Notamacropus eugenii: one gene and its partner. The protein of the gene in region 2 interacts with the protein of the main gene of each other region in a pairwise test. Links are inferred from orthologs where the notes say so. Each region holds a gene or a part of one and is shown on either strand. Other genes may lie near its edges.

Region 1 (7,189 bases), about 300 Mb from region 2:
GTCATAGAATCATAGATTTAGAGCTGCATGAGATCTTAAAGGTTATTAAATCTAAATGCCTCTTTTTACAGGTGAAGAAACTGAGGCAAAGAGTTTAAGAAGAGTCTTTCTAATTCTAATTCAAGTGCTCAATCACACCAGAATGTCTTTATGTAGTTCAAATTACAGGGTATCTTTGTGAGTCTGGAGGACTATTTAGGTCCCTGAGGGAGAAAGATGGGGCCACATTAGAGAGGAGGGACTGTTTATGGGCTACTGTGAATCCTTGCACACCTCCCCTCCCCCCCAAAAATCTCTCTGCTATGCATTATTATTTTGGGTACTTATGAGATCTAGACATCAGCTATCTTCTGAAATTCCCAGAAAGACGTTCTGGGAACCATAGAGGAGACTGCCCCTAAGATTGAATTCAGTCCCTTGTGGACCCAAAACCTGGATTCTCATGGGGGTTACAGAACATTGAAAATCAGAGCTGGGAGAACATCAGACGATCAGATTGGAAAGGGACCTTAGAGAATGTCTTCTAGTCTGAGCTCCTCAAGATCACCACATCCAGCCACAACTGGAATCCAGATTTCCTGATTAGAATAGAACAGGAGAGTCATATTTTTGGCAACGATTGAATGAATTCATTTATATTTGAAGTTAGGTGCTCATTGGTGGGTGCTTCTGGGGAACACGAGAACAAAAAAAAAAGGCTGAAAAAAAAGACGTTGCAAAGCTTTACGTACTGTACATGTTGCTTAAATAAAATGGTGTCTAAACCTCATTTCCTCAGTTCTCCCTCCTCCCTGACCTCTCCAAAGGTGTTGGAAGTGCCTTCTAATCAAGTTTTCCCTCCCTCGTCTCCTTATTGAATTGCCAGGGAGAGAGAAGAGACTTCCTTTTGTTCTCTGTCCTTGTGGTCTCTAGGGCAACAGATTAGTGCTAAGGAGACACAAAGACACCTACGTGGATACGACACACAGACTCAGCTACACACACAGATGCACAGGAAGAAAACGGATACAGGCATAGACCAAAAGGAAGCTACACAACAGATATACAACGATACACACACATGGCCAAGCACAGGTACCTACACCGACAAATAGGAACAACACAGTCTCAGGAAAAAAAAAGAGATCTGCACACACGGTTAGAAACAAAGGGTGATGGTTCCCAGGGTCTGTATGAAACCCATGGAAACGCCACTTTATTTTGGAACTAGAAGGGCTTCTGCAGTCGTGACTCAGTGCTTAGAATTCAGTTTTAATGACTGACGCCAGCCAGCTGTCTTCACCGCATGGAGAAATCTTGAGGGACAAAAGATTTGCGACGGATAAATAAATGATACAATCCTCTGGCTACGGCCCTTGGGAGGCATTTGACACAGAATCTCAACCCTCCTCCTTTCTCTTGGCTGTCACGTTGGCAAAAGTGAGCAGTGCGCCTTTTTACATTTCCTGGGGTGCTGTTTTCCCTACTATTCAGGCAAGCAACCGCTATGTCCCCTTTAGTGATGCAAACGCCCTCTAACCCAGCCAGCGCTGAAGCTGGGCCTGGGAGCATCCAGCTTTCCAAGGCCGCCAGGAAAGTGAGCACGTGGTGACGGCGGTGGTGGTGGGGGTGCCCGGAGCAGTGCGGAGCTAGGTCCCGGCATGTGAGTGCGCGACACACGCTGCCTCCAGGTTGGGCTCAGTAGGTGCAAGCCCTGACAGTTCGGTCCCCTGGCACAGCCAGGCACCTGGCTCCGCTCCGCAGGGTCACCTGGACCAGTAGATTTTAAAAACAGACAGGGAGGGAGTGGGATGACCCGGGGACTGGGAGGAGGAACCCCCCAGCCTTGCCCAGCCCAGGAAATGAGTTTTGCTAGAAGCACGCACTGGGAGTGAGAAAGGGGAAGGAGGTAGGGTGGGGGGAACAGGATTTATTCAACAAACATTTTTAAATTAATGCCTCGAACAATCTTAATTTTGTTGATATCTATCTTTTAACATCTTTATTTCCGAATATCGAAATATATTCATGTCCTTTTCCACCTAGTGAGCCTTCCCTTTATCACAAAGATTTTAAAATCACTTCAAACAAAACCAAGCAACGCAACCACTATTTGGCTCTGTGTGTGTTTGTGCGTGTGTGTGCTTGTGTTGGTTGGTTTTGCACATATACAGTCAATAGTAGTTGCGTTGGTTGGTTTTGCTTGAAGTGCTTTTAAAATCTTTTGTCAGGCTCACAGGACACATACATACATACATACATATTTTATGCGATAACCCACACCCGCAGTCTTCCCTCGTTTCAAGGAAGGGTGGGATAGATGCATTCATTAAAAAACAAAACATTAAGTACTTCGGTGCACAGTGCTAGGCACTGGAGGGAGATACAAGATTTGTATTGGTCACAGTCCTTCCCTTTATGGAACTTAACAGAATGTCGTAAGGGGGATGACAAGAGATAACTATAATACCTAGCTGTCACATACATTAAAAAGATGCAACACAGAGTGCTATAGGAAGGATGTGGAGACAAGGTTTGAGGGTAGAGGGAGGAATCCAAACAGGAAGGTGGCATTAGGTTACTTTTAAAGAATGGATAAAAATTCAAAGATAACTGAAAGAGGGATGATGTACTTGGCAGAGGGAATTGCCCACCGCAGAGATGCGAGACTTGGAGATCCAGTGGGTTGAAGCAGACTAGTATTCACTTTTATTAAACGGCTACAGAACATAGGGGTAGGTAGGGTGGTGGCTGGAATGCTTCTTTCTTCTTCCTACGCAATTAATACGGTATGGGAGAAAGCTGGGAAATCAGCTAGTTCATCCGTCTCAGTAAACAATGAACGTGCCTTGGCCAAGATCGCACAGGTAGGAGATTCGAACTCGGGTCCTCTAATTCTCGGTCCACTGCTTTCACTGCACCCTGCTGCTTCCCCACAATGGGAAAAGGGGAGCACGAGGGGACCCTTCTGGCCAGCTCCTAGGGGCACCCTTCCGTGACCACTCCAGGCCTGGGGAGATTTGGGCTTGGGAGTCAGAAAACTTGGGTTCGAAGGCTGACTGCCTCACAGACGCCCTGGGACCCTCCCTTTCCTTCAATGGGCGTCTCCCTACCCTTCTCTGACTTGCACTATGAGTCTCCGAGGCCTCGCCTTGCATGTGGGGCAGTCTGTGGACCAGTGGCCGATCTCCCCACCTCCCCGCTCCGGGGACTAAGGGCTGGCCCCCGGGCCCCAATCCCTAGTAACAGCCAAGATCAGTCCGGTTCAGCAGAGATGGGGGTCCTGCTCCGCAAAGGAGTCTGCGCGCTGGAGCGGAGACTGACACGATGACATCATCGGGTAGGGCTGGGCGGGGAGGGGAGCTGTCGCGGGGCATTCTGGGGCAGGAGGGAGGAGAAGGGAGCGAGGGGAGGGGTGTTGACGCCATTTTCGGCGGCTGACGGGGGAGCCGGGGACGCGGGTTTCGGAGGTCGGGGACGGGTCGGGCTGCTCGCCGCTCGGGACCCGTTTGGCCGAGGCCAGGAGGACCGGGGGCGAGGGGGCCCCGGACGAGGATGTGTCGGGGCGGCGGCGGCCGGACCTGCCTCCCTCGCTAGTGACTGACAGACGGACAGCCCGACAGCCCTCCCCGAGCCCCCGAGGGGCTTGACGGCGGCTCCCGAGGTCGGGCACCGGCTGCCCCGCCGGCCGGCCCTTTGTTCCTAGGCCTCCCGTCCTTGGCCTCCGTGCGAGCGGATCTGGGCGGCGGCCCCAGCCCCCTCCCTCCTTGTCAGCCCGCGGGCAGCGCGGCCACCGCAGGAGCAGGACGGTGAGTGGCGGCGGGCGGGGGGCTGCGGGCGCGGAGCCCGGGGCTCGTCTGCCCTTCTCCTCCTCCTCCCCCTCCTCCGCGCCGGGGCTGTGCTCTCTACAGAAGTTTAGAGGGTGACCGAGCCTCGTCCTCCTCGGGGGCCGCGAGGTCTAGGTGGAGTCTCGCTTATCTCCCCATCTCCATCCCTGCCCGGGCCCTCGGCGCCGGGAGCGCCGCCTTCCCCGGGGAGCCTGCGGGATGGATGGGGTGGGGCGGGGGGCTCGTTGGGTGACCAGTGCTCGGGCTCCCTTCGGTAGCGCCCAGGTCGCAGGAGCCGGGGGGGGAAGGCCGAACGGCGGCCACCCCGGAATCCCCTAGAAAAGGAGGGGCGCGGGTAGCGGGGATGGGGCCGCCCTGGGAGCGGAGAGAGGAGGGATGCCCGGCTGCCAGCCCTGGTTCTGCTTTGTCCGAGTTCTGGCCTCTTCCTTCCGGGTTCCTCCTCGCTGCGGTTCCGGTCCCCCCTCCCCTTCACCCGCAAGACACCGCCCAGGGAGGAGACCCTGGACCAAGGCCCTGGATGAGACATTTTTATCAGCATTCCTGGAAGAGGAAGGTCAGCTTCCTCTCCTTGGAGAGGAGAAACGGGGGCTTTAATTTCGTTTTCTTCTTCTCTTCACCGATAAAGCGCGCTCAGACCGGATTTCTTCTGTTTTGTGTACCCCGGTATGTTTCCCATCAGATTGGCAACCTCTCTAAAACTGAACTTCATCTCAAACTTAGAGTACTTTTTTCAATTATAAAATCTGTTGAATTCTTGTAATAAAACCCACCATATTAGCAGCAGTACTATTAATATGTTGTAGATTCGATTGTAATAGTGTGTCAAAATGTCTACTTTTTTTCTAGTATTGTATATTAAAGCATCCTTTACTGTCTTATAAGATTGAGTTAAAAAAGAATAGTAAGTATTTTCTGAGGATATCTTGCAAAAATACATTTTGGAATGTTAGTCATGAACAATTTTATAGTATTTTAGACTATCTCTATAAATAGACCGTGTTTAATTACTTCATTCCTTGTTCTAGTTAATTGTGAATTACACTTCTTGATCTTCTTTATATAAGTGTAGGAATTACTCATTTCCTTTTAATGGGCATTTCACTGGATGCCGACGAAATGCCATTAAGAAAAATGAAATGGCCTTGTTATGTTTGGTAACCATAATGTTTACAGATTCAGTATTTTGAGGGATAAGAATCCTTTAATATGGTGGGAAATTTGCCTCATCGTGAAATTTATTAAGTATCTTAAAGAGCAAAGTGATTAAATGTTAATGTATTGCAGGCTGCAGTATTCTACTCTGTAGGATAGGTAATATAAAAACCAGTTTCTCAAAGTCACTAAAGAATGCAACATCATTTCTGCATCATGTTGCAGTTGAAGTTTGGCAGTCTTGCTGTGTTACTTAGTAGTATGGAGAGAACTTGATATTGAACCTCACAGTGATCATAGGATCATCTTAGGTTCATCACAATTCCCTTTGGAGATTTTCTTTACAAGAAAATTCTTTTCATTAAAGAAATGTAGAGACAAGTTTTGAACCAGTTGTAGGAATAGTTCTAACCTTTAAGCTTTACTTTTAGGAGTTAGATGATATATCTGTCTTGTGTAAATTAGTATTTTGTGAAGCAAATAATAACTTTATACTGGCTATTTTGAAAAATATTAATATACATTTAAGTGCAGTCTCCTGAGAATATTTACTATGAGGCATTAGCAAGAGAGATCTCCATTGAACCTATAACATTTTAAAAAGGATGTTGATTGGCAGTTTTGAAGTGTCCAGTGTGAATGAAAATAATTTGATCTTTTTAAAATGTTTAAAATGAACGACACAGTTGAGTATCTTGGCAATATTGCCCCTAAATGGACAGATTCTAACAAATGCCATCTGACATTCCTACTCAAAAACTTTTGGATTAGTATAGTAGTTCTATTGGCTCTGTAGCTATCATTGTATCCTTGGATTATCAAAGGGAATAATAAAATTAAAAGGTGAATTTCCGCTGGTTGGCTTTTAGTTTCAGCACAAATTTAGAGACAAATGAATATATAGAAAGTTTAGATTATAAAGCCCAGTTTAGTGTGCTTTAAAATGTTGTCTAGAACAGCATTTTCAAAGTGTGGTCTCCCTGAGGTCAAGATTATTTTCATAATATTAAGATATTTCAATTTTTAATACAGTATATATTGATAAATGTAACCCACATAAACAAAAGCTCTTTGGGGAGGTCTCCGATACTTGGGAAGAGTGTAAAGAGATCCTGAGACCATAAAGTCTGAGAACAGCTGGTCTAGAGAATTACAATAGTCATCACAAGTAGAGTCATACAGTACTTATATAAGAGAAAAAAACTCCATATCATAGGTTCAGTTAATAATTTCTTTTCAGTAGATTTTTATTATGTATTCATCTACAAGTGCTGGGGAAACAAATTAAAAAAAAAAACTTACTGGGGAGAAGACTCAGCATGAATACTGCTAAGTATAATACAGCATGGACCAAAGACATGAAACAATTTTTTTTTACTTGAACTATTCCAACAATTGGTTTTAATTAGCTCCCTGTTTTCTACTTCATAAAGTCTAAACTACTCAGAATGGCTTTCAGGGTCATTTATAGTCTGGTTTTATGTTCCCGATCACATACTCAGGACTTTTGTTAGGCTTATCTCATCATTCTACCACAATGCCATGTTTTTAGGATCCTCCTACCCTCTGTACCTTCACTTATAATTTCCCCTTTTTCAGAAAGCCTATCTCTCCTATAGAGTTACCCAATTTTTTCCTCTCAGATCAAAGCCCAACCTCTCCAGTGTCAGCCTTCACTGATCTCTCCTTTTTCTGCCAGCACTAATAGCCTATATTAAAATTTAGCATTTGATAATGGTTCTCTTGAAACTGTTTGCTATTGTTATATATAGTTTTGTTTTCTTCCAGCTAGATTGTAATTTCTTTTAGGACATGAGCTATGTTTTATATTTCTTTTATAATTTTCATCTAGCCTCAAATACTTATTAATTGATTCTCTGACTTTATAGTGGTTTTGTTTACTGCTTACATTTTAAAATTTTAACTTTCATCCTCTTCAAGTCCAGCAATAATTTTAGAGAAATTTGTACATTTTAAGAAGTAGAAAAGCAATTAAAATGAAGATATTTACAGTGGCTGAAATGGAAGGATTTTTCCCTCACATTTTTTGGTTTATGTATCAGAAAATGAATTTTATGTTTAAAAAAAGAAGAGAATTTGTCATAAACCTATTTTGGCTTGGTATTTTCATTTTCAGCATGTTATTTTCTTCTCAAGGTAAAAATTATTCATAACACCTTTTTAAGTCTAGATAGGAGGTGACAACTCCT
Region 2 (7,502 bases):
TATATACACATGCATATATATACACACACACACACATACATACACATATGTGCGCATGCGCGCACACCCCCCATATATTACTTTAAGGTTTGTAAAATTTTTTATAAATATGGCCACAACTACCCTTGGGGACTAGGTGCTATTATTATCCTCCTTTTTTTTTTTTTTTTACAAATGAAGAAATAGAGAAGGAAAGAGACTAAATGACACTTACTTAACTGTGTGTCTGAGGCTACATTTGAACTCAGATCTCTCTGACTCCAAGCCAAGATGTTCTATTAAGTGGCTCTTCAACCTCAGGCAAGTCACTTGACCTTTTAGGGTCCCAACCCTCCTTAGGTTGTAAAAGAGTTAAAGATTTAGAGAAAAGAGTTTTTAAGTTCTTGACTCCACCCCTTACTCCCCCCAAAATTACATATATTGTGGAAGATTGCCCAGTCTATTTATTGGAAAGTTTGACAATAAAATGTTAATTCATGAGGTAGGTCCATGGTAATTAAGCACTGGGCCTGGAGTCAGGAAGACCTAAATTCAAATCCAGCCTCATATACTTGTGATCTGTGTGACCCTGGGCAAATGACTTAACCTATATCTGCCTCAGTTTTCTCAATTATAAAATGAAGATATTAGCTCTTACTTCACAGAATTATTGTGAGGATCAAATGAGATAAAATATAAAGTACTGAGCATAGTATGCTATATAACATAGCATAGTAAGATTACTTATTCTCCTCTTAAGTCAGGAAATTTCTTGAATTTTATCTTAAAGGAATAATTTCTTCTCTTCTCTAAGATGGGGTGGGGGTGAAATACTGAGGGTACCAGATTTAAAAATCATGGAGGTAAGAGAAACAAACATAAGATTTTGGTACAACAGTGAGTTACTCTAACACAGGACCAGAAGTTTGTTGTGTTCAAAGACAACTCTTATTTTGACTAGAGGTAGTGTGATATAAGAGAAGCAGCCTGGATCTGGAGTCAGAAGGCTATGGTTCTAGTTCTGGCTTAGCCACTATCTAGTGACAACCTTGGGTGGGTTATATAAACTTTTCAGGTCTTCCATTCCCCCTCTGTAAAATGAAGGCAATGGATCAAACGATCTGAGGTCCCTTTCAGTTCTAACATTTTATGATGTATGTATAATCTTTAGTATTCTACCTGTAAAGAATGAGTTTGATGCTTTATCAGATATTGTCATTAGGTCTGAGTATTAGTATCAATTTTAGAGAAATATGGTGGATATCACCATCAACTAAAGAACACTTGCTTGACAGAAGGATGAAAAAACCTATCACTATCACTATGGTAAACATTAAGTTCATTCAGAGGGTTGTTTTATGGTTTTAGTGTGTCAAAACATTCCTTGAATCTCACTAAGAATACATCCTAGCTATGGTTTAAAAAATTTGTAAGTTCTTTCTCTTATTTCTGCTTTAAATCAGGATCACCATGTGGACAAATAAGAACATGGATAACAAAATTTATCATAAAGGAGTTTAGAAGCTTCCTATTTTGATAAAGAACCTTACTTTTGTCTGTAACACCTATGTATTTATGTACATACAAGCTGGGTTATGTGTATATATATATATACACTATGTATCTATGCAGGGCAAGAGTAGTGGCATTCTAATAATACATCGCTTTCTTCCAAATGCCTAGATGTCTGTTTAAATTGGTTCACATGCAGTTTTCCAGGTTATAGAGCAAAAATATTTCCTGATCAGAAAAATCCTATTTCTGCCCCCTCCAAAACCACACAGGAATTTTCCAGGATTTTCTATAAATGCACCCAATCTGACCAATGTAGTGACTTAAAGGGCAAAAGAGTTACCAACAAGGCATGATGAACTCAGCAGTAACCTCAATCACACAGAAACCAAGAGCAGTTTTACCTAACAGATGAGACAGAAGCTTTGGAGCTTTTGGCTCTCATTACGTGTTAGAAGCAATTTAACTGATTCTTCTGCCCAAAACCATAAAAGTCTTGGACAGGAGGGCACAAGGGAAAAAGCCCTTCCCAACGACGGCTTCCTACTGCAAAGAGGGTCTGTTTAGGCTGACTGCAGCGGGTAGAGGCTGGTCTAGGGAAGTAATCAGGCTTGGGCAACACAGTCTCAACAAACAAAACCCGATGTGAAGTCAGGATTGACGGCTGAGAAAAGACGCCGGGCCTTCAAGGATGGGGGCTCTATTTAGGGATCGCGGCCCAACCGGCAGCTGCCACCAAGACGTGTGTGACCTTGGGCATTCCTCGTGGGGCTGGGCTAAGTGCTGGGGACAGCAGGGTGACCTCGGGCTTCTCACAGGGAGCTTTCGGCCAGGGACACCCAAAGAAGGGATGCCTCTCCCTTTCCCTCCGTGGGTGTGGCCGCAGGGGAGAAGGGAAAGGCTGCAGAAGCTCCCTGAGGCCGAGTTTGGGGGCTCGGGGGGGAGGAGGCGGGGGTGAGCCGAGTTCCTGGAAATGAAATAGGGTGGAGGGAAGGAGGGGGAGCAGGCCCCTCCCGCTCCGCTCGGCCCCGGGCTCGCCCGCGGCTCGCTGCCTACCTCCTCGGCCTGCTTGCGCAGCGCCTTCTCCCGCTCGTACTGGGTGAGCAGCTGCTCGTTGTCCTCGCGCAGCAGCTCGAGCTCCACCTCGTGCTCCTGGTTCTCGCTGAGCACCGAGTCCAGGTTCTCCAGCACGTTCACCACCAGCGGCATCAGCTCCTTCACCACCTCCTCGTCGTAGCAGCTGATGAGCCGCTCGAACTCGCGGTAGATGGAGCCCGCCAGGCCCGACACCCGCTCCGACATCACCGAGCCCGAGCAGTAGTCGTCCTGGTACACCACCACCCCGCCGCCCTCGTCCATCTGGATCTCCATCATCGTGGCTACCGCTGCCGCCGCCAGCGCGGCCTGCTGCCTTCCCGGCCGGGCCTGGCTCCGCTGCTTCTCGGCTAGGTGCGCCCAGCTCCCCCGCTTCCCCGAGGCCGCCGCAGCCGCTCTGCTCTGCCAGTCATTCACCGGCCGGAAGTCCCGCCCCACCTCCCGGAAGCCCCTGCTCCCCCTCTGGAGAAAGGGGAAACGAACGTCTCCCAGGCAACCGCCTGCGGGTGCGCTGACACGTCCTCGCTAGGGGGAGCCGAAGTCGTGAAGGAGAGGAAGGGGAGCATGCGCACTGCTGCTTCAAGAAGCCGCTTGGCCTGAGGTCTTTTCGGAGCACTTCCGGCGAAGTGCGACTCTCTCCCGGTCACCTTAGAAACGTTCTCCCCAATCTCTGCCTCTGGATCAGACTCCCCAGAGAACAGAATCCATGACGGGCAGAGGGAGGGGGCGGGGCTGGCCGGAATGAGGAGCGGCCGCGGTACTTGGGGTTACGGTCCAGCCATGTTAGGTGCAGAGGGGTGCACACAGTCGGGGTGGCCTAGGAGGGAATGATGGAGAGCGCATCTGATCCCGGAGGCAGTCCGCAGCTCCTCGAGGTTACTGGGGAGGTCCGGGATGGTGTGACACGGGAGACACGGCACGGACCGCCCCGCATGGCGTGCCCACATCGGGGAAGGGGCTGGGCTCTGCGGGCAAAGCGGAGCGGACCTAGCCCAGAGAAGGGGCAGAGAGTCACGTTCAGAGAATCCACCCCAGATGTTCGCGCCCACCCAAGCTCTCATGGTCCCATCAGCCAGCCTCTAACTGGACTCCAGCGGTGACGTCATTCAGCCAAGGACTTGGTCAGACTCATGTCTTAGAAAAGCTGTTTGGAAGATTGATTTAAAAAATGGAGGGAAGAAATCAGACAAAGGAGGGTCCAATGCTAAGGCCACTGTAAGAGGTGACAAATGCTTGAACTGGGAGAGTGGTCATGTGAGTCAAGAGATAGGGCAGATTTAAGAGAGATTTTGGAGATTTAATCATAAAATTCCTAAGAGCTGGAAACTCTTAGATCAATGGGCTGAAGAAGAAAGAGTGCAGGATGACTCCAAAGTTTCAAACCAAGATGAAGGCATCCATCCAGGAAGGCTACAAGTGTAGATTTTTCTAGAACATAAATTCTGGCTTGGGTAAATTGAGTTTGAAATACCTATAGGGCATCTAGTTAAAATGTTGTGTTTGTCCTTCCTTCTTGATGAGGACCATGACATCAAGATGAGGACCATGACATCAAGATGAGGACCATGACATCAAGATGAGGGCATGACTTGCAGCTGACTTTGCTTTGAGTGAGGGAGGGCTGTGCAAGGTCACCAACCTCACTTTCTTCTCCTGAGCCATCTAGGTCCAGTGGCCTGATACTCATCAGGATGACCTGCCAGGGTAAGGAGGGATTAAAGAGGCTAAGGTCTGCTAAAATGGGGACCTATACTAGACTGGTAGAAGTGAGAATGAATTTGAGAAAGGTTGAATGAGAAATCATAGGACTTGGTAACAACTGGTTACCAAGGCAAAAGAAGATAAATTATGCAAATAAAGTGATTAAAATGTCCATAGACTTTGACCAAGAGACTCCTCTACTAGGCTTGTATACCCAGTGAGGTTATAGGATAAGAACATCCCCCTACACACCAAAATATTATCAGCAGCCCTTTTTGTGTTAGCAAAGAATGAGAAACAAAACAGATTTCCACTGACTGGAGATTGGCTAAACAAAATGTGATATATGAATGGAACAGAATATTATACTGTGCTTGTAAGAAATGATGAATGTAATGAATACAGAAAACCATGGAAAAGATTTACAAGATTTGATGCAAAGTGATGTAAGCAGTCAAGAAAACATATTCAATGACTACAACAGGGGTGGGGAACCTACAGCCTTAAGGCCACATGCGACCTTCAAAATCCTTAAGTGTAGTCTTTTGATCGAATCCAAATTTTATAGAAAAAACCCTTTTATTTTGTGGCCCTAAGGCCACAGGTTCGCCACCCCTGGACTACACAAAGTAAATTAAAAGAAATATAGATTTGATAGGCAGTTAGCAATGCAAGATTGGAGTTCAGGAAACTAGGGTTGGATGTGTAGATTTAGGAGTCATCTGAATTGAGGTCATAATTAAACCTATGGAAGCTGATGAGGTCACCAAGAGAAAATGAGAGACTGGCAGGAGGCACCTTTCAAATCTATAATTAGCGTGAGATTTTATAATCAAATGAGGCTAGGAGAACACAACGTACAAAATAAGTTTTCAAAATAATTACAAACTAACCACTTAAGGAAAAAATATTCCAAGTCTAATAAAAGAAATGCAAATAAAAAGGCTGAGGCTTCACCTCATACTCATCAAGTTTGCAAAGACAAATATCAGCTTTGTAAAGGCAGTGAGAAACCAGGCACAATAATGTACAGATGGTAGAACTGTAAATTACTCTTCTTGAAAACTCTTTGTTGTGGTTGTGGTTTGTCCTTCATTCCTGAAAAGGAACATGACATCAGGAAAATGATGCCATGACTTGCAAGTAAATTGGATTTAAGTAAGGGAAGGCTGTGCAAAGTCACCAGCCTCACTTTTTCCTCCAGTCATCTGGGTCCAGTGGCCTGATAAAGATCAGGATGACTGGAGATGGCCCCTAAAACTCTTTTGTAATTACTCAAGTTACTAAACTATTCATGTCCTTTGATTCATACACAGATCATAACACTGGGGATATAACCCAAGGAGGTCAGCAGCAAAAACAAAAGCCCATGAGAATATTCATAGCAGTAACTTTTTGTAGTAGCAAAAAACCTGGAAACCAGTAGAGGCCTATCAAATGGAGAATGGCCAAACAATCAGTGTGTCACAGGAATATAACAGCGTACTACTGAATCATAAGAAATGATTCATAGGAATTTAGAGATACATGTGAAGACTTGCATAGACTGATACTGAGTGGAGAAAGCAAAACCAGGAAAATATACACAATAACCATCCAGCAACCATGAAGATAACGTGAAAACAATTTGGTAGCAATGCAATGACTAATGTGGAGTCCAAATTACATGATTCTTCATAGAGAGGTGGATTATTGTCACCTGCTTGGGGACTATTGCTGCTCTCTGATTGGGCCTGTGGCCTATTCTGCCATGCTGCTACCACCAGTCCACTACCTGGGGCTTACTTGAAAAAAAGGAAATTTCCCTTTTATCCATCTTCTTTCAACAGTTATCTGTCTGGGCCTGGGTACTTTTTCCCACCCACCCCCATGCCCTCTTTCTAGCTACACATGCTGCATAATGTCTTGAAGTCTCCATCCTAAAGTTAACTCCTAAGGAGATGTTGCTAATTTATCTAAACCCATTCCTCCATGATCCACAAAACTCCCAGTCACCCAGGATTGAGGTGTCAACCTCAACCCCATTTTCTTACTCCTCACATGCAATCAAATCATCTTGATTATGTTGTCAGTATCTTATACACACCATTCTCTCTTCTGTCACTGCCACCATTCCCAGTACAGGCACTCATCACCTCATCTATGGAAGTGATAGCAATAGCCTCCACCTTGGTCTTCCTGCCTCAAATTTCTCCACTCCAGTTTAATCTCCATTTGGCTCTCAACTGATCTTCCTAAAGCCTAGGTCTGCCCGTGTCACCCCCTATTCAATAAACTCCAGTGATTACAATCAACTCTAGGATCAAACATAAAATTCTGGCAAAGATTCCTCTATAATATGGCCTCTTCCTACAATTCCAATATTATTATGCCTCATTCCCCCTGCCCCCTATAATACTTTGTGATCCAGTGATACTGGGCTCCATAGCATTCCTTAAACAAGACCTCCTGACGCCAGACATTTCTTGTTTCCATGCCTGGAACATTCTCCCTCCTCTTTATCATTTGCCCTTCTTGACTTTTTCCAAGTGCCAGTTAAAATCTCATCTTCTACAGGAAGATTTTCCTATTCTCCTTTAAAATTATTAGCACCTCCTGTTTATCTCCAATTTACTTCATATATATGTAAGTGTACATGTGTAAGTACATGTATATACACACACATCTTATTTGTACAGTTGTTTGTATGTTGTCTCTTTCCCTTAGATTATGAGTTCTTTTTGAGCTGGGACTGTTTTTTTTTCTTTTTGCCTTAGCACGGTGCAGGGCCACAGTAAGCACTTAAACACTGCCTGTACCACATCAGCCATCTTACTCAAACTCTAGTATCGGTTGCCTTTGGCAAAAACGATATTTTTCTTTGGTTTTTAAAGCCCTTCACAATCACCTCCAGTCTATCCGCATTACTTCCCTTCCTGCATTTTAGAGTCCAACCAAACTGGCATTCTATTTCTCACATATGGTACTCCAACTTCTCTGTCTTGCATTACCTGTCCCCCATACCTGAAGTGCATTCCTTTCTCACCTGACTCAGAACCCCTCTTATTCAAGTAACTGAAACACCACCTAGCAGCAACCTTTCCTGACCCTCCCACTGGTGCCCTCTTGCCCTAACAAGACTCTATTTATTCTTTTTATGTTTTATATGTACATATTTTTTCCCCAATTAATGTTAATGCCATGGGATTTGTTTCATTCTTTTTTCAGCACTGAGC

What was found.
Region 1: the proteins of MAPK8IP3 (region 2) and KLC1 interact in binary tests that used the Homo sapiens proteins (3 or more experiments, as listed by UniProt). The link is inferred for Notamacropus eugenii from reciprocal best matches to the Homo sapiens genes MAPK8IP3 and KLC1.

Annotation. Positions count from the first base shown.
Region 1 is NC_092872.1:349,271,641-349,278,829, reverse strand, and holds the start of KLC1 (kinesin light chain 1), read left to right. Parts: upstream 1-4,183; 5' UTR 4,184-4,344; coding exon 4,345-4,490; intron 4,491-7,189. UniProt on the Homo sapiens protein: Kinesin is a microtubule-associated force-producing protein that may play a role in organelle transport. The light chain may function in coupling of cargo to the heavy chain or in the modulation of its ATPase activity.
Region 2 is NC_092872.1:48,926,798-48,934,299, forward strand, and holds the start of MAPK8IP3 (C-Jun-amino-terminal kinase-interacting protein 3), read right to left. Parts: upstream 3,017-7,502; 5' UTR 2,866-3,016; coding exon 2,548-2,865; intron 1-2,547.